Linked DNA regions of Oreochromis niloticus. The protein of the gene in region 1 binds, or shares a complex with, the protein of each later gene. Links are inferred from orthologs where the notes say so. Each region holds a gene or a part of one and is shown on either strand. Other genes may lie near its edges. The genes, in order: cpsf2 and cpsf4.

What was found.
Region 2: cpsf2 (region 1) and cpsf4 share a complex: the UniProt entries of both Homo sapiens proteins name them as parts of the cleavage and polyadenylation specificity factor (CPSF) complex. The link is inferred for Oreochromis niloticus from reciprocal best matches to the Homo sapiens genes CPSF2 and CPSF4.

The regions. Positions count from the first base shown.
Region 1 is NC_031980.2:14,770,426-14,782,066, forward strand, and holds the start of cpsf2 (cleavage and polyadenylation specificity factor subunit 2), read right to left. Parts: upstream 4,803-11,641; 5' UTR 4,643-4,802; intron 4,275-4,642; 5' UTR 4,257-4,274; coding exon 4,108-4,256; intron 2,205-4,107; coding exon 2,045-2,204; intron 1,946-2,044; coding exon 1,840-1,945; intron 1,738-1,839; coding exon 1,608-1,737; intron 1,518-1,607; coding exon 1,402-1,517; intron 1,266-1,401; coding exon 1,078-1,265; intron 921-1,077; coding exon 630-920; intron 467-629; coding exon 366-466; intron 30-365; coding exon 1-29. Other genes in the region: riox1 (ribosomal oxygenase 1), read right to left, coding at 7,409-7,468, 7,660-7,746, 7,822-7,921, 8,015-8,135, 8,241-8,382, 8,474-8,578, 8,882-9,060, 9,419-9,453 and 4 more. UniProt on the Homo sapiens protein: Component of the cleavage and polyadenylation specificity factor (CPSF) complex that play a key role in pre-mRNA 3'-end formation, recognizing the AAUAAA signal sequence and interacting with poly(A) polymerase and other factors to bring about cleavage and poly(A) addition.
Region 2 is NC_031969.2:10,421,617-10,433,521, reverse strand, and holds cpsf4 (cleavage and polyadenylation specificity factor subunit 4), read right to left. Parts: upstream 4,875-11,905; 5' UTR 4,550-4,874; coding exon 4,447-4,549; intron 4,308-4,446; coding exon 4,257-4,307; intron 3,789-4,256; coding exon 3,636-3,788; intron 3,536-3,635; coding exon 3,440-3,535; intron 3,303-3,439; coding exon 3,209-3,302; intron 2,977-3,208; coding exon 2,904-2,976; intron 2,742-2,903; coding exon 2,583-2,741; intron 1,779-2,582; coding exon 1,710-1,778; 3' UTR 1,139-1,709; downstream 1-1,138. Other genes in the region: atp5mf (ATP synthase F(0) complex subunit f, mitochondrial), read left to right, coding at 675-791, 910-938; shmt1 (serine hydroxymethyltransferase, cytosolic), read right to left, coding at 6,672-6,844, 6,934-7,044, 7,264-7,380, 8,600-8,722, 8,819-8,932, 9,085-9,297, 9,432-9,513, 10,257-10,417 and 4 more. UniProt on the Homo sapiens protein: Component of the cleavage and polyadenylation specificity factor (CPSF) complex that play a key role in pre-mRNA 3'-end formation, recognizing the AAUAAA signal sequence and interacting with poly(A) polymerase and other factors to bring about cleavage and poly(A) addition.

The DNA.
Region 1 (11,641 bases):
CGCTCTCATCGCTGGAGTCCACATCCACCCTGCAAACCCATAAAATAAACATTAATTCTATACTTAAAAGTTTAATTTGTCTAGGAGCAGACAACTTATTTTTGCTCGGTAGCGGAATATAAATGTTTGTCATAAAAGTGTTATGACTCATCTCGCAGTTACAGATTTCCTTTTAAACAGCATGTTTGAGATTTGTAGTCTAGACCACAGTTTGCATTTGTGATGGCATTTTTTCCAAACCTAATTTGCTGCCGTACTCGTGAACTGACTGATGAAACGTTTTGTAACACCAATAGCGTCACAGAGAAAATACATGCAACCCTTAAGCTACAAGTCATCTCATGTCTTTTTCTGCAGAAACTTACTCTTTTGCTTGTTCAAGTTTTTTAGCAGTTTCTTTCTTAAGTTTCTCCTTTTCCAGGTATTCTTCCAGCTCCTTGCCTTCGAGTTTTACTCTCTTCTTGACCTGTGGTAACGAGAAAAAGTGGCAAATGGATACGGTGTAAATGACAAACTGACAAATTTTGTTTCTTCCTAAGCCGGGTCTGCATATTAGCATCAGAAGCTTCCCATGGGGCAGATATCAACACTCTGGTATAGCAAATCAACATTATGACTGCAGGACTCACCTCCAGATCCAGCATCTTTTCTCCAGGGTTGTCGATGAGGTAGCGAGCTAAGGTTCCAGGTGTGGTGCGGTACGTCAGGATGATGGAATTTTTTGCATTTTGACACCACTGGATAAAAAGTTCTCGAGAAAACCCTGACTCAAGGTCCGGTTGGCTGCAGAGCACCACCTTGGGGCTGGGTACACGGGCCAGGTCTGCCAGACTGTGGCACAGGGTCAAATGTCGGAATTGGAACGGGTTGTTCCTCTTGTCCTCAAAACACCTCATGAGCTTGTCACTCATCCACTCCACCTACAAAGGATCAGTAATTAATGAATTCATGAATTATAACAATAACAATTATGTATTATTTGCTGTGCTCTCTCTGTAGAAAAATTTAAGTTTTGACTGGAAAAATCTGAATATTTCAATAGTTTCTCCGATGTGAAAAACAAACAGTTAATGGTACCTGGGACTTTGAGAACTCCACTACATTGTAGCTAACATTGTTAAGCAGAGCGAGTGGGTAAGCTCCGAGCCCAGCATCCTTCGTCCTCCAAATCTGGTCCAGGAGCTGAGCCAGTTCCAGCACACGCCCAGCTGTATCGACGGCAATAAGGACATTGCCATCACCACGCAGGGTCTCCATCACATTGGCTGTGGAAGAACGGAAAAAGAGAATTACAAATTTACATAATAAAATCTGTAACCGTTAGAATATGGCAGTTTGAACTCACATACTATTGATGTAATAGTGTTAGTGTTAAAGCGCCCAGTGGCTATTAATACGTACTAAGTAGCTGCTCATCTCTTTGCTTGCGACGTGGTTGTACATACGCCGCATTGAAGGAGTCTGTAATAAGTAAGGATGGACGGCTGAGGCTCTCCAATGAGCAGCCATTGAGGTGGCTGGAGTACACAGAGAAAAAGAATGCATTAACAATGAGCCAAACTAAAAACAATAAAATTTCATTTCACATTAATGTTTTCTTTGCTTACATTTCTCTCTTGTGGTTAAAGTCCACGGCGTAAACAATCTCCTCCTCCCCATCCTTCACAATTTTCCAAATAGTGCCTCCAATCATGTGACCGGCTGGAAGAGGAGTAATGGAAAGACCGTGCCCTTTTCCTGTCAGGTAAAAAAAAAAATACATAAACAATCACATTGTTATATGTGGTGCATAAACAGGGAATAACACCTGACCTCTGATGTTCTGCAAATAAAACACACCTTTCAAATTGACAATCTGAGAGTACTTCAGCTGCTGGATCTTATCAAAAGCAGCATCCACATCATCAAGAGTGAACAGTGTAAAATCTTCACTGTTGTTTCGGGACTACATGGAAAGAAAGAGAGAATTTAATACAGCAATGGTAATCAAGCCAAAAAGACCCTCTGTTAATTAAATCATGCATTACCCACATCCCCTTCTTACCTGATACAGATCGTACATGAACATCTGCCCCATCTTGTAGACAGGAATCGTGGCATAGATAGTACAGTTCAGCCCCAGTTTGCCCACAGCGTATGGCAGGGCTCCCAAGTGTATGGGGTCGGGATGGGAGAGCAGCACAGCGTCGACCTGATGAACATGTCTGGAGAGGGGAAAAAAGAGCATTGCAGCAGGTTCAAGTCCCAGAAAAGTGGAGTAGTTTAATTCAAATCTTTATTCAATCGCACAGTCTCGTCTCACAAGATCAAAATTTGTTCTTTAAAGGAGAACAATACGCATTCACAAGGAGTCCAGACAGATAATAAAGCTTTACATTTTACAAGGGTAATATAGGCTTCTAGTGGCCTCTACTTTGAGGACAGTTTGCGATTCATTCAAGATTAGAAGGTGCACAGTTCCAGAAACAAAGCCAACTAACATGTGCACATGGGAAATATTTAAAGTTGTGTTTAATGTTTTCCCCCTCAACAAAGATGACATTTCATGAACTGCCCTGTACCCTTAATGATGAGTTTTGACACCTCATTACATATCAATAAAGACGTGACAACCATTGACATAGTTTTTGGGGTTTTTCCAAGGGTAACTGAATAGGCAGAGACCACCCTCACCAATTTCTGATACAAACCCAGTCATCTTGCTCTATAAGCAAGAAAAGAGCTTCAAGGGTTACTTCTGATACTCTTGGTGTTAAGATAGCTATTCAAATTGTGTAAAAATCACTTTGGAGGTTTCCTGACTTTGCACTAAAATAAGAATTTAAAAAACATTTTTTTCCCTGGAAGTTACAATTCAACCACTGTCTCTGAAATCTCTGTAGCTGTAGTTATTAGATGTGAGAAAAGAAGAGATTTTAGGTAGTTTGGAAGCCTCAAAAGTAGAGCTGTCCCTTTTATTCTCGACTCTATAGATGTTCATCCAACTGATACAGTTAGAAACGATGAGTATGAAATTTCTCATTGGTGATAAAGTACTATAATAGACAGGGTTTTATATATATGTTGAGAGGGCGAGAGAGAGAAGACTACCAAAGGCAAGGACAGACATGAAGGTGAATGTGCAATAATGGCATAGTTAGAAGACGACAGACATCCTTTAATTCTGCACTCTTGCACTACATAGCTAAGAATGATTCACATTCACAGGCAGAGATGAAGAACACAACTATTATGTGAATAAAAAGCTCTAGGTGGAAAGCATAATAAAAACCAAACTGCATCATTAATAATTCCCACTCTTCTTCTTTCCACTGTCCTCATCGTACATCATCTGCTTCCATCTCACCCTATCTCTAGCATCCTCCTCTGTCACACAAGCCCTCTTTCACTACATCCGTAACTCGTCTCAGTGGTCTTATTCTCCTGCTTGGCTACTCCATATTTAACATTCTTTGTCCAACATATTCACAACAACATCATCTCAGCCATACTTCTTTAAATTTGGTCTCCAAACCGCTCAACCTGAACTTTCCTTCTGATCTAATTCTTTCTCCCAGTGAAAATCTTAACATCTACAAAATTGCCATTAGAGTATGAATTAGGATAATTCATGTTGTATATATGTATAGGAAACAGCAATAGAATTAGAAGACATACATTTGTCCATGCTAATGAAAGCATAAAGAAGCAAAGGACTAAGTTTGGAAATCTCTCCATATATGTTGAACCATCTCCTTGCGCCTGATATTCTTCTACTACAAGATGAGACAGAAAAAGTACAAATTTAACATAAGTGAGGTAAGTTGGGGGTCTGATGTTAAGAAATTCTTGGGAGATGACCCTCAGACTACAAGACTACAAAACCTACACCCATCGTCTAATGACGGCCAGTAGTAGTAGTAGTATTATAAACTTTCTTTTATGGCAATAAAAGGTCGGCACAAGCTTTCTTTCCCCTACTTCGGGGTGGGGAGGTCAGTCATCAATAAACCAGACTGCTGTGGGTGTACTGTGTTTAGTGAGTTCATAAAGGCACATTTACTTTTTGCTAAGAGTTTTTTAAATTAGAAACATCAACTCTTTTTGAAAGACTGGCGGTATACCGACCTCTTCATAACATCTATGATTTCCATGGAGAAGTTCTCATCCCAGCCGCAGTCCAAGAGGAAGCGGAATTCATCCACCTGCAGCAGGTAACAAAGGGCAGTCTCCTCCTGAACCCCTGACACGGCTGTTAGCTTGATAATGGACGTCATGGTTCTTCAGTTGTCGCGCTGAAATATAAGAATTGTGCTTGCATGTTATACTCACCACGAAACCTTTCCCACTTAATCTAAGGCGCGTGGCTCTTTATGTGTGTGAGTGCGACTCTGAGAAAAGTCATTCAATTTAATCAACAAAGAAAACAAACACAACCATGGTTGGAGTTTGCCATTAAACTGTGTGTGAGGCTAACAGCGTAATGTTGCACAAGTTTAACCTGTGATGTATGCAGCTTACAGGCTGTAAGTAAATAAAATGTAAACACAGTTTTGTTGCTAGCCACAGCTAGCTCAGAGTTGTTAGCAGATTGCCCAGCAAAGTGTATTTACAGTGCTAGCTAATGAGTGTAAATGAACTAACAAAGGAGCGTGCACCATACCATTAATTGTAAAATAATGGATTAGTCTTCTGGAATAAAAAACAAACAACAATCTTTTTTTCTGTTATTCCCAAATTAAACCATTTTGGCTCGCGTTTTTGATAGCGGCAGACATATTTGCCGCTGCATCATGTGTGAAAGGGCAAAGGAGCATACCACATATGGTGGTGTCGGTACTAAATAATTCTATGTTAAAACACTACATTTAGATTTTTTTTTCGAAAGGTATCTGAACACATCACCTTTAACATCATATGTTCAGTGTTGGAACGTATCTAATATTCCACTACTTGTGCTTTGACATTAAAATTAATTATTTAAAAATATGAAACCACCACATCGTAAGTTTACAGTTGGTAGAATCCGATGTCCTTCGCTTGGTGAATGAGGAGCTGAAGGCCGCGGCTGGTGTAAACAGAAGGTATTATTTTAGATATTAATATTATATATTATATTCATTATTCTTTTTTGGTCGAGTCAGTGAATTTTAATGTGTTTATCGTACTAAAAATACAGTAACTAGTGCAGTTTAGAAATAATCCTTAACTACACCTTGAAACATATTGCTAAGGCTAACTAGCTGACAGGCTAGCTAGCCAAGTGCCTCTCTCTAGGATACCAAAAGTTTGTGATGAACGATCTGCAGACTTACTGGATATTTAGTATTCAGCTTCATATATATAGCTGTAATGTAATGCATGGCCACCATATAATAACTGAAGTGACCGTGGTCTGTTCTTTGACATAGCTTGATGTGCATTTAAGCTTTGCCTGTCAAACCTCATTGAAGTGCATAAAGAAATGTTGTAACACATTGTTAAGGTGTACACATTCTTATAATCTAAAGTAGGCGTTTAAAGACAGTTGTTGTGCTAATTGTGCAAACAAATGTCTGTCATTTTTAGTCGAGAACATTAGCTGATTTCGTTTTCTAGAAGTTTTTTGCAGGTCCTCTAAATCTGTGAACATGGGCTACCCCCGGAATACTACATGTTGCTAAAGATTACAACGTCTCTTTCAATGGTTGGGACTCGCAGCATGATCAAAATAATGATGGTGGCACGATACAGATATAGTGTTATGAAAAAGCATTCTCCCTTTCCTTTTTTGAGTATTTGTTTCAGATCAAACAAATTTTAACATTAGACAAAGATAACCCGAGTAAATGCAAAATCTAAATCTGTGTAACTAAATGGAAAAAAGTGGAATTAAAAGATGAAAGGTGTTGTTGCATTCATTATTACTTTTAATAAGTCACTTCAGTAATAAGTGATCTGATTTCCTACACTTTTAACAGTATTTCCCCTAATTTTATTTTAGTTAACTTTTACCCTTATTCATTTGAGAACCTCATTTAAAATCATGAATTAATAACTGATTTGTTTATTTAACAGTGGAATCTGTGATGCCAGTGTATCAATGGTGTATCTTAAAAGAAAGCAATAAGATATTGCTATATTAGTATTTAGCCTTTCAGATAGCTTAAACAGAGATCAGACTTTTCAGCAATAGTGGTAAATGTTCTTGTATCATTTATGCTTGTGCTTTCCTGCATCCATTTTTCTTATTATACAAATATGAATGTCCAACTGCAATCATAAGTTTAATTTGGGAGTATAAAACCCATGCTGTTTTTCCTTTTTTTAGGTAGGAACCATGGTGAACTTGGCAGCCTTTGCCCGCCAGTACTGGGCACACATATTTGTCCCCACGGGCTTTGTCATTGGATGGTACCTTGACAAGCAACAGGACCAGAAGTTGACAGCTTTCAGAAACAAGAGTGCTTTGTACGGAAGGTAAGAACAAGTGACTGTTCACCAAATAAAAACAAAACAAATCCCTCAGGTTATTCTTGAATTTAAAGACTAACTACTATGTTGAATTCATGGTGATGTTTGTCACTGTGTACACAATAGCCCATGGTCTGGAGTTATTAGTTCAGTGCATGGATATTTTCAATTTGGCAAAGTTATAAATACATGAAATCTGCAATTTCATAAAAAATCCACCTGTAAATATTTGAAACACATAAGATGACGCAGAATAATGACAATTAGTTTAATACATCCTGTGTTTGTGTTTTATCTTGTCTATTTTGGTGTATTTAGGCCAAAATATGATGCAATGCTGAATGCAATAAAGACCCCTTACAGATATGCAGGCTCAATTAATAAGCAACTGCCTTCTATATCTATGCAAATCCACTTTAATAGATTTCCATATAACACTTTTTGTTTCTAATGTAGTAATACACTTTTCCACTTTCAGCCAATAACTCCAGTAGTGATCTTCTGGTGTAAAACTGTGCTCATACATCATTCTGCGCTGTGAAAGCCAAACATCTTACAAAACTTCAAATTTTTCTTCTTTTTATAGGGAACTGAAGCCTGGAGAGGAGGTGACCTGGAGGTAGACTGCTCTCTACTTGAAAGCCTGTGTCGTGTGGTGTGAACGAATGGGTGTCCTCAAATCACAATATTTAAGAAGACTCCTGTACCTCTGTTTTTGAGTTGTATCAACCAATAATAAAGATGCCATTAATTAAAATCATTTGGTACTTGTTAATGATTCTGGTTGTACAAGACCAAAAATTATATATAAATTTTTTTTTATTTTTAGTTGAACAGCAAAATCACAAATGCATTATCCATTTCCAGTTGAGCTAATGAAGGCTACTTGGAGCAGACATGTTCTCCACTGAAGATCTTATTTTGTATAAAGTGATTTGATCTCTTCATGCAGTCACCATGGTGGAAGAATCTAGTGCTACACTGGTTCTGCAGTGTGGATAATCCCCTTCTCAAAAAGTAGTTCAGCCAAAGCAATCTGGGGAAAAAGTAAGGGGAAAAACATGAGGATCAACCACTAATGACAAACACATAACCAAATAAGTGATTTCACTGTGCAGAAACCTTGTTTATACAGGTACCCATCTAAAACACTGAAGATAAGCTGCCCCATATGAGACACCTTCCAACAACATAAAACTACACAGAGTGTGTGAAGGTAATAATTACCCTGTCCTGCGCAGATTCACATGGGAGGCTTCCTACTGTCACAAAGCCGGGATATGAATGGATCAGAAACTCGACAGCATCTGTGTACTAAGAGGAAAAACAAGTCAACCCCGTCATTAGCACAGTTTACGAGACCTGACAAACACATCTGCCAATGTTTACCTCTGGTTTTATTTCAAAACTCTTGAGCTCCTCTTTGTGGTAAACTCTAGAGTTGTCAGTGGTGTAGTAAAGATGAACGGCATCTCCGTCATTGCATAACCTGGCAGTAAAGATTTACAAGACAAATGACAATGACACTTTTCTGCTTTAATTGGTAGCCTTAACATGTAGTCAATAAAAAAATCTGTGTTACCGGGCACACTGAGCACGTAGAATTCTGATTTGAGTCTGTGTAATGATATGTACACCCACATCCTTTACTTGTCCACCTTCCCACCTCGTAGGTGCTCCTTGTACACTGGTGACCAGTTCATCTGTGGGTGATGGCATGAATTAGAATCAAAAGCAATATCGTGACATTATGCATCTCACTGAAAAAAGAAACTAATGCAACAATTACAGCTCTCTCCATCACATACCTGGAGTGAGAGCGGGAGGAAGGCAGTCATGAATGAAGTCTTTAGCCTTCTGATCAACAGCAGCATCTACTGGTGCGTAATTTGTTAGCCTCTTCATCAGATTATCAATTCGAGAGAAGAACTTTGCCCTGCGCGGGTCTTCCTACACAAGGATAAGTTTTATCTTTAGCTAGTAATTGGGAGTAAACGAAGACAACACCTGAAAAGTTGGTAAAAATCACTTCATTAAATACCTTGTCGGAATTCTGTACTCCCATGTACGTCAGGTAGTCCAGAGGTAAACCCCGTCTGAACTCCACGTCCTCCTCCATTGCTACTTCCAATGCTGCTGGGACCAGCTGAAAAAAAGAGCAGTAAATTCTGAATACCCTTTTGTAAGTTTAACTGTCTTAGGCAATCCTTAGGTTAAGAAAGAAAGGTGATGTATGAACCATCAGCAAAATACTCTCCACCAGAGATCATTAGTATCATCTGTCAGCAGGAAAGACTGCTTTGGTTATTATTCTTCACCTGCAATGCAAAACCACTTCATGCTGGATGCAAGATTTATACCCTTCTGCTAACTACTGGCACACGTTTCAGAGTTCGGCCGTTGTCTTCATCTGCATGCACCACAGGGGGAAACAGGGAGGGTTTTCTACCTTTTGCAGCAGATCTCCCCAGCTGTTCTTCTGGTAAGAGGAGATGGTGATGTGCAGAGAGTGTGCGTCTGGTAGGCAGTTGCCTTGATGGATAAAACCTCGAGGGAAGTAGATGAGATCTCCGGCTTCTACCACCACATCTAGGATCGGCTTACCAATGTCTGCCTGGTCGAAGTTTGCTGAAGAGAAATCACAAAGCAGACACCTCTGAGAAATCTATGCCAGCATTAATTATATTTATTTATAATTCTGTTTTTCAAGCAAGAGAGGCTATTTTATTTCCACAAATCAGTAATTTATCATTTGTAAGTGACACCACAAGACATGAAATATTTCTTTTTCTGCCCTCCTTCATCAAACCCACTCCACCATCATTCTCTTACTTTTAATTACAAGTGCTTTTTACAAAGTACCCATTCCCCTGCTGCCCCAGGATCCCACGAGGTTCAGACCCAGAGGCATCAAATAATTATGCTAACAAAACGCAACCGTTAAAAACTACTAAGAGGATTAGTTGTTGTTGTTTTTTTTACTCACGACTCGAAAGCACAGGCAAGACCTCATCGTCTGATCTAAAAGAAAAGGAAAAAAAGAGAAAACGAAAGAGTAAAAAAAAAAAATATATATATAAAAATACCAGATATAGCAAAAATTAAACAAATTAAAACCCACATATGCAAATTGACTTTATTATTGTTTTAATTCGTCTGAAGGTTCAATAAACACCCCAGTTTCACAAAAATGAGAATTTTCTGGCAATTATTTTATGGTTCAGGCTTCACTGGGTTCAATCAACACTGATTTGGATGCTTAAGTAGTTTTGTATAAAACTTTAGTCCATCATGACCCACATACTATAAATAAGTCTGTTATGCAAGTTTGCTGATTTAAAACATTTGCAGAGATTTACTAATGCAATGACATCGCATAATGTACACGCAGTGTGTTTGATATATTATTCTGGATTTATTATTATGCACTATTAATTCAGCAACAGCATGACTTTAAAATTGTGGTGCTCTTTTTTGAAAGTTTCCCCGCTGTTTTTCACCTTGGGCTGTACACTCGCCAGCGTTTCTTCCCCTCCAGCTGAACCACAAAGGCTTCAATGTCATCATAATGTGGAGCAAATCCTTGTGTGCCAGGTGGTGTCAGGTATCTGGTTGAAGAAAACACACACACATCAAGACCAAAACAAATGGAGTATTCCCCAATGTGACCGATTTTTGCTCCAAATACTAACATATTGGCTCCCGCCATGCTGCCAAACTGCTCTTGGAGGATGGACAGCACGTTCCACACCGTGGAGGAGAAAGCCTGAGGATTCAGCATGCGGAGGGAGCAGCCACTCTGGGAATTGAGACACCAAGATGACTACTAATCTGCAGCACAGAGCAGATGGCGCACTGATACAGCTAATGGAATGACTTCTATCATGCAGCAATGAAAAATATTCAAATTAAAATATTACTTAGTACATAAATATACATCTGATTTTTCTCTTAATGAAGGTGGTCCCGGAAAATATGAAAATGAGGATAAGCTTTAATGATCCCCACAGAGAAAGTGAATGCAGCTAATTTGCATCAAAGGGCCCAATTATTAGGAAAGTAATCAGGACATTAAAAATGCAGAAATCACTGTAATCTTGCTTTAGACATAATCATAAATCAGCAGCCTGCAGCACTGTGTCCCCACCTCATAGAAGTCCCACGCAGTGTATGGGAGCACTCTCCCTGGAGGATTGTGAGTCTCTCTCTTGCCATTAGTGTAACTTGTGACATCCAGGTTCACTCCATACTGAACATCTTCCTTTAATATTAAAAAGTCAACAAATATTCAGGACTTTTATTCCTTATTTATACTAACAAATATGACCAAACTGCTCTGGACGATTATTAATCTGCACAATTAGACCAGGGTTGTCTCTAATTTTACATGGCGGCCACATACTGTCGACCAGTGAAACGCCCCTTTCTATCAGTGTAAAGAAGTTTAACTAAACACTTAATCCCCGAGATATCTTAATTACTTTGGTAATGTGAATGGCTGTGGCGGAGGTCTTCATCAATAGGAAAAGCTGTAAAACTTCAGAAAAATACAGTTAAAAGTCCAAAATTTATCTCCCACTTCACGTGTTCCAAAACTGTCCAGTGGACCAGATTTGCCTTTGACGGGCCAAATTGACATTCCCGAATTAGAGGTTTAAAAAAGGTGCCAGTTTGGTTAAAACATTTGTGAGACTTCCAGTAACAGATTACAATCCTTAAAAGTGCCAATAAATCCTGCCATCCATCATGTCCCCTGATAAACACAGATGGGGAGATTATGTCTTCTGTTTATCCACCCATTCTCCAAAAATTTCAAATGCTTGGTTCCACTTGCCCCTTCCCCTGACTCACCTGGTGCTAATTCAATGTTTTGAAAAAGAAAAAGAAAAAAACATATCCATTTTTAACTAAGTTTAAGACTTAGTTTCAGGTTTCTTACCTCTCTGAAAATGCGATCGAGCTCTGCTGTAGAGAACAGTCCCTTGTAGTAATCAGGATTCTTACGTTGGACAAAGATGGGCTTTTTTTCCCATGTTTCCCTGAGGAAAGAGGGAAATGTATCAATACCCAAGGCCTGTACTAAGAAGCATGATTTAGGTTAGTTGGTTAACCCTGGGTTTTGAATATTACAGCAGCAGTTCATTTCTCAGACAGGTCACTTATGCTGCAGACCTAACCTGCTCCAGAGCAGATTATGTTCAAGAATGAA
Region 2 (11,905 bases), on another chromosome or scaffold:
GATCTTGATTTTTGCTGAACCTCAGTAAAATTGGTTAGCATGGCTGCGTAGTTTTAACTCCCAATTGGCATGGATTCCAGATCTAAAAACAAGAAAGTGTAGGGGGGAAATGGAATGATTTCTTCACTTTCACCACCAACTATTTTTCATCTAAAGCTGGACTTTAGTTAAAATTATGTTGAAAATTGACTGTTTTAAAGTTTTTAGATTATTTCACTTTGTTTGATATATTGTCTGATTGGGGCCCCTTAAAGTTGATTTGCACAGAAATATGGGTAGAAAAAAATTATACCTGTTCTGTTTCAAAGTGGATTTAAAAATACTAATTTTTTAACTCCACTTTTCTTCTGTTTTGTTAGTAATAAGTAAAATAAAGTGAAAGTCCACTGGAGAGTAAGAAATCTACTCATTTTGGCTACTTTACACTTAATAATTTTAGTGTCCTTTATTACATGAGGCTCATGTTTTGCGGCACTTTATTTTTTTGAGTCACAAATTGCTGAAAAATGTCTCTTGACATTAAAGGTTGCTGACCCCTGTGCTAGTAGCTTTCCTTACTTGGAGACTAATTTGAAAATGTGGCCTCAGTAGTAATTAAGGTCACAGAATGAGTGCTCCTCTTGCATGTATTGAATACTAAACAGGACACTTGACCGTGCCGTTTTCTCTTCTAGGCCACGACAGATACTACAACAAGTACATCAATGTGAAGAAGGGGGGCATCGGTGGTGTAGCTATGCTGCTCGTTGGCTACGTGGCCATCAGCTACTTGTGGGAATACGACCACATCAGTAAGAAATATACACTCGCTTACAGAGCCTGTTTTATTTCTTTGCACTCCTGTCACAGCTAACCTCACTAGTTAAAAAAAGCTAATATTTTAAACGACTTCTGCTTCTTTTCTTGTAGAACACGATCGCTGGAGGAAGTACCACTGAGCCCCTTCAGCAGACCTTCAGGGGCGCGTCAGCTCTTTCTATCCTCGGCTCTGTGTTCATATGTGCTTGTTGTGACCAATAAAAATAAGGATTTACTGTTATGTTGTGTATTGTGTTGGGTGTGGGGTGAGTGTATTGTGTAAATCTCAGAAGTGGCTATGAGAAGATCAGAAAAGTGTGAGGGGTAAAAAAAAAAAATCTGTAACAAGAACATTTATTTGTACAGACAGAATATGTTCAGACTGTCAACAAAGCGTCTCTTCCAGCTGCTGTGTACTGCTGTACCTGCCACACACAGCTGCTAAACCGAGGCTGAAATGTCCAGAATGAGACCTTTATAGCGAGTGTGGATTTGGCTGCTGAGTACAAGCTAAATTACATTCCTAAGATGTTTATCACATTTGTTCGATTTGTTTTCACGGTCAGACTTGGAACATAGCAATGGCAGCTGCAGTCACATGACCTGAGGAACAACAGCACCTGTATTGGTGTTTGCAGCAGTCTGGACCCCGGGAGTGACTCTTCAAAGTCACCTGTACTGTACAAACCCAGCAAATCAGGCCGGACGACCTTTTTTCTTGTCACTTTCATGTGTCCACAGGCCCCAGAAAAAGTAGCAATGTTTCCCTCCCACTGTCCGTGTCTGTCGGGCGGCAGTTAGTCTTTAAGATACACCAGCATGTAGAGCAGAGTCTTCCCCCTTCCTCTCTTCTGCTCACATCAGGGGTGGTGCGCTACAGCACTGAGGTGTTTGGGGTTTGAGGCTGAAGGTTACTGACCACTCAGGAAGGCAAGATGGCCTTTAGTACATTTGTTGGCATAGTGGCCCTTCTCGCCACACTGCAGACAAGAGGAAGACAGAGAAATGAAGCGATTAACGACATTGACTACATGTTCCAGCTGTTCCCAGTAGCAAGAAAAAAAACAAATCCTCTATTTTTAAAGGAGATTGGTTTAGGGATGTTTTCCCTTCTTTATTTTCAGTTATATGTGCTGTGAGATTGGTGGATCTAACAGCACATATGTTAGATATGTGCTGTTAGATCCACCAATGTGTACAAGTTTTTAAATAATGATATCGGTGAATGTCCAAGTAAACCCTATAACCCCAATCCAAGGCTGTTGGAACAGCTGCCCCACCCACATTCATACGTGTTTGAGCATACAATTTGCAAGCGAGCCAATCAGAAGAACGTGGGAAGCAAACTTGAAACAGATGATTCCAGATTGTGTTTGAACTGAGGAGCCAGACCCTTGTGCACATTTTTCATCCCAGATACTGTTCCTGACAATCCTAAAGGGATTTGTGTCACCTCCTTTTGCTTTTAGGCAAATGTGTAAAGCACCACACTATGGAAAGTCAAGAAATTCAGAAAATTGTTCCCCTTTAAGAAGCTGGATAAATTCACAAGAGCACCAGTGATCCATCTTATTCAAACTGCAACCATGCCAAGGAAACCAGTATTATAAGTAAAACCTTACAAGTGCATCTAAACTTGAGAAAATTATGGTTTTAATGATCTAAATGTATGGCTGGTGCATGCTTTGGCAATATAACCAACCACAGTTTGATTAATGATTGTAATTACGACCAAAGAGAGAGACTGGCATAGCTTTAATCACACAGATGTATGGCTGACTTACCTTGTAGCAGGTGACCTGATCCAGCGGACGAGGCCCTCTGTTGGCATTTAGATTGTTCTGCTGAGACACAGTAGTCATGTTGTTCTGCTGCCGCTGGGCTGGGGTGGAGTTGGTGAGCTGGATTAAGGAGAGCGACGAGCGGCCAATGGTAGGCACGGGCTGCGGCAGGAGGCAAGCAGAGAGACTCTGTTTTCACTGTGCACCTCAGCAACAGGAACGAATAGTTAAACAGGAGCACCGAGAGCCATGCTGATTCATCCTCTGAGATGGATCCACGCCAGCATCAGGATGCATCATTTGAGTGTTTGTGTGTATTCTTACCTTTGCCTGGTTCTGGTTTTGCTGTGGGAGAGGAGGCTGTTCAGAAGCGCCCATAGGCAGCTCAAATCGGGGGCTGTGGAGGAACATCAATGTATAATTTACGTCACTGCAGGGTGAAGTCTCAAACAGCTTTTAGTCCAGCTATCCATCATTATGAAATCAAACAAAGACCATTTATACTGGAGTGTAATGTAATGAAATTCCTGCACAACTGCTTGGCAGATTTAACCAACTTAATGTGGAGCACAGGTCCTATCAGGAATCATACCTGTTGTGTAGGAAGTAAATGTAAAACGACTACTTACTGCATAAATTTACAGGACTTTCCTTCTGGACAGAAGCCCACCAAGTAGTTCACACAGATCACCCTTCTGGTGTGTCGGTGTCGGCAGTCAGGACCTGAGGTAAGAAGACGGAGACAGAGTTGAGGATAATAAGACCGACGTATGATGTTTTTCTCCATTTAAACCACAGAAAGGACAGGCCACGTCTATAATCAGTGGGTTTGTGGTATTAGTACTAGAATTTGACCTTACCGTGTTTGCAGAAGCCTCGGTCATACCAGGGACAGTCTTTGATCTTGGACTCTGGATCTATGTGTAGGAAAGGACACTCCTTGTTGCTGCATTCACCTGTGAGGGTCACAGAACAAAACATTAATCAGTACAGCATTCATTTGACAAGATCTGTGGAAAGTTTAACCAAATAAATGCACTCATGATGTCAACTCACCAAACTTGGAGTAGAAGTAGCATTCAGGCATCTTGGTCATGTCGTATTCGTGGAGAAACTCGCACTGGTCTCCCTTCTTACACAGACCTCTGAGCCAGTGCTTACACACCACTGTCTTCTCTCCACTGATGTGACGAAACGGACACATCCCACCTGTGAGAGACAGTGCACTCTGTGACCTTCTCCTCATTAAGATACACATGGCTCTCAGTGTCATGCCGATCACTTAAAACACAATTTAGTACTTTTCATTTTGACTTTTTGACATGAGCAAAGGCTGGCCTAATGGCAGGGATTGAAATGGTTACAAAACCGCTTAATAAAGATGGGGGGAATGGTAATTTCGCTTGGAGCTATTAACAGGAGTAATATAATTCACAACATTATGACAATGACCTATTCCTGGAAATCAGTGAGGTGCAGTACTACTGTAGCCGTAAACAGTATATCTAAGGCTGTATTTACACATGAGAGGTCGAGCTTGCTTAAAAAAAGGTCAAACAGCACCGATATGTGCGTTTGAGGGGTGTGAAGTGTCTAAACTTTAACTTTACGGAAGTTAAAGAGTTCATTGTTGGGGCCGTTCACGCTGCAGTGACATCACCAGAGTTGAGATTTTACCTTTCTGACACGCAGCTCTCATGAAGAACTCACACACAGCAGACCCGGACTCTGCAGAGACACACACGATCACAGGGTCAACAAACATAAGTAGTCAGTGGCGATCAACTCTCCCCGTCACTTTTACTGTTAATTCCGCTTAAGGTTAACCTGCAGCGGGCTGAGTACCAGCTAGCATCCCAGCACTTACTGTCCATGCCGGGGAAAGGAAGCGGCTGGGCTCCCAGCTGCTGCTCCACGGCAATCTCCAGGTCAAACTTGATGTGGTCCACGTTGGCCAGTAAGTCCTGCATGTCCGCTGCAGTCTGTTCACTCCTCCGATCAGATAAATGTCCGTTTCGGTTAAGCTAGCTCGAAGTCTAGCTACTAGCTACCAGGTTCCCTCTCAGCCTGCTAAGGCGGCTAGCCAGACTAACTGATAAGTTAGCACCCAACTCCTAACTCCGATACCGAAAATACAACAGACGCCGTAGTTTGTAGCTCTAATGTCGGTTTTAAAGACAAGCCATGGACACGGACCGTCCCGTAAATGTTTGTTTGTCCCCGAACTGCTCCTTGTTCTGTGTGGATGATGGGAGGCGCGCAGGCTGACCTCTGACCTGACAAAATCAGACAAGACTAAACGATCGCAGAGCGCTTCGTTAAATCCACAACTCGACAGAAAGTTTAAGTTTTTCTACATGATGAAGAAATGCTGCTTTAGTAAAATCTATCAGCATTTCTCTTTGGGCTTAAACTGTAACAAATGAGAAAAATTACAGAAAAAAACTGTGGAGCCAAAACAGAAATTTCTATAGTAGATCATTTGTAATCTGATTGTAAGAGAATTAAACCAGAAATTACTGTAATGTAGCATGAATAGCTGGGGGGGAGCTCTTTATCAGTAGGAAAAGATGTAAAAATTTATTACATTTGGATTTTGGTGCCCCTTTATGTCGGACACCATTGGTACAAAACATATTTTATATCAGTTTGTGTGGTTCAGAGGCCAGACAAGGTCTCATTCAGCTTCACTGTTTTTTTTTTTTTTCTCTTTATAAAATCCATCGCTGTTCCTTTCGTGGATTTATTCTGATTATTATAGAGCTTCTCAGTGTGAAAGCTGAGGGTACTGGGATGTGTTATTTTGATCTTCATGTTGAGCAAAACCTGCTTTTGGCTCATTTGAACTCAAACACTAAATCAACGCTTCTCAAACTGAGCTTCTTGTCCATTGATGGAGAGCTAAACATTAAATGTTAGATTGTAATCTAAATAATCAAATGTATAGATTAAGAAAAATTTTAAAAAAACAAACAAAAAAAAAAAAACAAAAAACAAAGCAGTGATTGTACCAACATTTGTAATTTTCAGTAGAAACATATCAGATCCTCGTTTCTAATAAAATTGGGACATAAATAAAGTTTGTTGTTTAATTTAAAATTGGTACAAAAACAACACATGAAAGGTAGAAAATTAGATATCCTTTTTTTAAAAAAAAGATTGAAACAGCATGGCATGATGCTGGCATCCGATGTTTTCTAATGTCCTGTATCACCTGTTCTTTGAGGATTACTGACCATTTTTCCAGAAAGAGACTATGTGATAGCATATACAGATTCATACAGCGGTATCCAGTTTGAGTGAAAATCCAAGTCCAGGATCTCTCTTCACTGAGAATTGTACTAGGAAGAAAAAGTGTCTACTGGAGAAAACTTATTTTCAGCCTTTGAAACCAACATCCAGCTTTCACAGGATCTGGATATTCAACTCTCCATGGACTCGTTCTCATCAGGGTGATTTGAATTTTATGACCCCTTAACTTTTATTCTACCAGAATTTTTATTTGTCCAGTTCTCTTGAAATGACATTCCAGCCAGCGTCAGCTGTTTTTCTATTGCTGCTAAATCAAGATTATTAAACCACTGTAAGCTTCTAATATCTACTTAACGTAATCAGAGTCCAGAGCACTAATGTACTTAGACTGGAAAAAAAAAAAAAAAAAAAACCCAAAACAAAACATAACAGCTGATGCTTCTTTCATTCTTAGTTTATTCAAAATGTAATTGAATAAGTTGTACTTACAATACTGTATATGTATATCATATACTGAAAATGTGGTAGTTTGCTACAAAACCTCTGAAGTGTAACCTTAATACAGATGAAAGTGAGATTTCTGATGAGCTCAAAGCTTAAATATGATTGTAACATCCGATCCTGAAGCTAAATGGAAAACATGTAAAAATGGGAAAGGCTCAGTAACAACACAGAATTAGATGGTCATTAAATCGGTTTGAACAGAAATCGTGTCTATCCATGAGAACTGTGAGTCAACAGTCAAAATAAAGGAAAAAAACCAAAAACCCAGCATCATGTGCCTTCATATTAATCTTCTTGAATCATCCGTTCAGCTGCATTTAGAGTCTGAACTGCGCTCTACAGCTCAGGTAGACCCGGCATTGGGAACTGTCCGGCGAAAGCCTCCACCTCAGCCCTGATCTCTGCTACCCGCTGCTGGAACTTCTCTCCCTGGGATAATGCCTGAACAAACTCTTTCAGATTGGCTTTGGGATCCAGACTTTTCTGCACCTCCACAGTCAGTTCAATGCCTGCGGAAGAATGGAAAGCATGGGTTATTTACATTTTGTTTGTGAGAAATCTTTTTATACCAGTTCCTCCTTTAAAGAAAAATAATTACCTCTGTGAATGAACTCAGCCACCTTCCTGAAGTCATTCTCCACCAAGCCTCTGGAGGTAAGAGCAGGCGAGCCGAACCTCAGGCCGCTAGGCCGCAAAGCACTTTTATCTCCTACAAAGATGTATGAGGAAAACTAAGAACGGGACTTTACAGAGGCATCAAGCAAGCAAAACAGATCTATCTACTTTAAAAAAAAAAAATTCTTATTATATGTTTATTCCTCTGCTTCTCTTGCTGCACTGAGCATGTTTATGACAAAAGAATTTCCCTCAGGATAAATAAAGTTCTTCTTATCTTAAATATGAAATGCGCCTTACTTGCCACACTCACCTGGACAGGTGTTTTTATTACAAGCAATGGCACATGCTTCCAGGACCTTCTCTGCTCGTCCTCCATCGGTTCCCTTGCTGCGCAGGTCCAGCAGGATCAGATGGTTGTCAGAGCCGCCTGCACATTAAGAGATTACAAAAAGGAACATTAGATGAGCATGAGGCTACAAATCATCCATCCTCCTTAACGCCACTGAGAATGTGGAGAGCTACACTCTGGGCAGGCTACTCCATCACAGAGAGATGGTCAACCATTCAGGCTCACTCAGGCTTAGGATCATCAGTTAAGTCAACGACCATATGAGGCTGATGCTGTAATTCAATTTTAATGAATCGATATATTCCCCTTTGCACCTACACGCGGCTGCACTCTCGTCTTCCAATCAAAGCAGTGCAGCAGATCTTTCATTAGGCATCTCAAAAGCTATCGTTTTCTTCTTGACTTCTGAAAAAGACTCAAAATCAGTTCTTTTGAGAGCAGATCCGATTTTAGGGAAAAGAAAGTCACATGGTGCAAGATCAGGAAAATACAGAGTGTGCAGTGGGCCAAAGAACCCTTCAGAGAGAGCAGTGTGGGTCCTGATGAAAGAGGGAACCACTTTCCAACAGCTGTAGCCTCTTTTTCTTCACCCTTAGATGAAAATGTTCGAGAACGTCTTTATAATAGAGTTTTGGTTCAATCCCTTTTGTTAATTCCTCTAGAACCCCGTCCTCTAATCCATAATTATGCTCTTAATGTCAAAGAAAACCATTAACACAGCCTTGAACTTGAACTCTTTCATCCTTGGCAACCCAGGTGATGTCCAGCCTTCTCCAGATATAAGTCTCATGAACATATTTTTCCAAAAAATAAATACATTGGATTTGCTTCAATTTGTTTCACGAGTTTATCCCAACCGTGGGATAACCTTTGCATAAATGTGCTTCTTCATGTTGTGCAAAGTTCTCCCTAACAGTCTTTGTTGGTGGACACATTGCTGGACACATTGCTGGAATCATTCTGATGCCTTCATTTGATTTGTTTTCAAACGCTCGTTCTTGGGCATCCACACCGTTCTCCATCCTCCGAAACATTCACGGGATCTTCACAGTGAAGATCACACATGAAGATGCTGGCCTTTTGAAATTTATAAACAGGGATGGTTGGTCAAGTTATTGCGGGATTGGGAATTTCAAGCCTCTTTTACTCCGAAGAATGAAAAAATAAAAAGTAAATGGGCTTAGTTATACTTTTTGCATCCATGTTGATTGCTCTTCTCCCACTCAGTGTAATTTCAGCTGGTTGTCATGGCAATTTTCACTTCCACTTGTCTATTATGGTGCTCTGCAGTACTTACCGGTGACAATCTTGTAGCCATGGTCAACAAGAGCGCTGGATAGAGCCTTGCAGTTAGCGAGAACCTGCAATTGATAGGCCTTAAACTCTGGTGTCATGGCTTGCTTCAGAGCTACAGCAACACCTGCCATTTGTTGAAAAAGAAACAAACAAAACATGACCCCAGTGAGAGACGTGAAAGAGTAAAAAGCGAAAGTGGAAGAAAATGATGAGTTAATACCTGCGATGGCGTGGTTGTGCGGTCCTCCCTGCAGTCCGGGAAACACGGCCTGGTTAATCAATGACTCCAAGTTGTACAGAGTCTCTTTTCCTTTGGCATCCACACTCCGCACGCCTGAAGAGATGGAGCGAAGAAGAGGAGAAGGTCGAATAAAAATAGTAAATTCACACATTATCAGTGTGTGGAAGAGCAGATTTATAACAGGACAAAGGGAGAAAAAGTTCAGTGCTGTCTTTGCCGTTTTTGGCTTCAGGTCCCTTTTATACCTTTTCTGTAGAAAATAAGCCCAGCACGGCAGCCACGCAGTGTCTTGTGCGTCGTCGTGGTAACAATGTCACAATGCTCAAAGGGTGAGGGCACCACTCCGGCAGCCACTAATCCACTTATGTGAGCCATGTCTCCCATCAGATAGGCACCATTCTCATTAGCAATCTGCTTCAAGCGGGCATAGTCAAGGTTGCGAGAATAGCAGCTCGTTCCTGAGAAAGAAAAAAAAGACAAAGTGTAGAGATTTTCTTTTCTTCTCCCCCAAATACCCTCAGATTTAAAGCTCCCAGTCACTGCTCACTGAGTAAAAAAATAAAAAATAAAAAACACAGGAGGGATGCACTACCTGCGATGATGAGTTTAGGGTGGAAGAGTCGTGCATTTTCCTGCAGCCTGTCGTAGTCGATGTAGCCAGTCTCTGGATGGACCTGGATGAACAGAGAAGCAGCAGATCACATCATAACCAAAACATAACACCTGCTATACACAAGATGAGGACAACACCACGTAGTTGGACTTTGGATAAAACCTGAACCAAAGTGAAATCAGTTGTTTTGATTTTGCCTACATTTACAAACATGGACAGCCACAGCAGATACTGGTCACTTTTAAGGAATCTGACGATATACAACCCATGGGAGATTCAGTCAAACTTCACAGATGTGTAGTTCATTGAGTCTGAAGTACTCACTGGTGTTCCAGATGGTTTGCTCCCACCACAAAGTGGTTTCTAGTGCTCACTTTTGTTTCCAAAAATCTTGGAAATTGCTCACCACCAATATCTAATCAGCAAATCATATGACTTCAATTGAATGAATTTAAGTATGTAGACATGATGAGCGTGACATGCTGAAGTTCAGACTGAGCATTAGAATGGGGGCAAAAAGATGTTTTAAGTGACTTTTAATGTGGTATGATTGTTGGTCTGAGTGTTTCAGGAACTGCTGAGTGAGCGGCAGTTCTCTGATGAAAAAGCCCTGTCACTGTCAGAGAAGAATGGCCAAACTGCTTTGAGCTGATAGGAAGGGAACAGTAACTCAAATAACCGCCTTGATTCTGTGATTTGTCCCAGCTGTCGTGACGAAATACCAGAGCGCATCGCATCTTTGAGAAATTTGTTCCAAACTCCCACAGAACCTTTTGGTTCCCGACCATACGTGCACATACATACCTTGTACGGCATGGATTCAAAGAAGATTGAGGTTGCCGAGATTTTTTTCTTCTCAGTCATGAAGCCGTGCGTCAGGTGACCTCCATCTGGAAGATCCAGCCCCATGATCCTGCCGTGGGGCTCCACAACAGCAGTGTAGACGGCGAAATTTGCAGGTGACCCTTACCGAGAAGCACGAACAGTATGACAGTGAGTGACAGGAGCACGGCAGATGTTGCATGCCACCGGGTGTAGTCAAGACTCAGATTTAAATGCATCCATATTTGATACCCGAGTATGGCTGAACGTTGACACCCCATTTCTCCGAGTCCAGACTGTAGGCCTCCAGTGCTCTCTTCTGACAAAGTCTCTCTAGCTCATCGATATGCTCCGTACCACCGTAGTACCTGTACACATAAATCATGCTCACCATTACAAATAATGTTCATAATGTTAATGCCACACTAATGAGATCGAGCCAGTTGGGATTTTAACTAGATTAAGCGTTGCACCTCTGGCCAGGATAGCCCTCGGAGTATTTGTTGTTCATACAGGAACCCAGCGCTTCAAGAACAGCTCTGCTGGCAAAGTTCTCAGATGCTATCAGCTCCAAACCGTACGTCTGCCTGTGCTTCTCTTTTTTAATAATGGAGAACACCTGAATACACACACACACACACACACACACACACACACACACACACACACACACACAGATTTCTGTTAGGTGGGAACTCTCAAAGGGCCTTTATTAGGTACACGTTTAATATGTAATTTGTTGTATTACCTCCACTAAACACAAACCTCTGAGTCGTTAACTGCCAGCGGCTCCAGCAGCATCTTGTTGTGCGATTCCCATTCTTCTTTGCTCACATGATGGCCGTTAGATAAAGACATGACTGCTGTTTTTTTTCTTGGTCTCACAAAGTGGAAATCTAAAAGATGAGACTTTTACACAGACATAAAAACAAAAACAATATCAATCTGAAAGGAATTAACACCTGTGTGTGATGATACAGCATGCAGACAGTGCTGCTGACAAACTGGCCCTACAGATGCTCCATTATTACAGCACAAAGCCTCAGACAAAGAGTGAATATGCAGCAGCACCACCCATGCTACAGTATGAGGTAATATGGCCTCATCAGCTAAACTTTGAACCGTCACACAGCCCAAACAGTCACTGAACTACACAATAAGCCGTATCACTGGTTATTTTGTAACCCAGATAACAAGCTCACTACTCCATGAAATACGCAGCTGCCGGATCTTTATCAGACTGTCTCTCCTGTGTGTCTCCTCATGACAGTCATGTATCTGTGCAGTGTAACCCAGCAGCGCATGCTTCTCATTACTCTTATCATCTGCTGACTGACCCAGAAAGACAGCAACAGCTGTGCAGTGCACACGCTGGCTAAACCTGAACTGAGAGGACCCCTGAACACATCACCAAGTTTAAAAAACACAAAACGTGAAAACTTCACCTGCAGAGCTAATCTGCTTTAACGAAGGTTAAAGTGCAAAACACATTTATGTCTCCACATATTTTCTCGCTGCTCGCATTAACATTACCGTCCTCTGTGTGTGAAACATTAACCAGCTCACTCACCGTCTGCAGAGACTCCCGCGCTGTCAGCCGTACACTGAGCTGAAGTTCGAGCCCCGGAGCG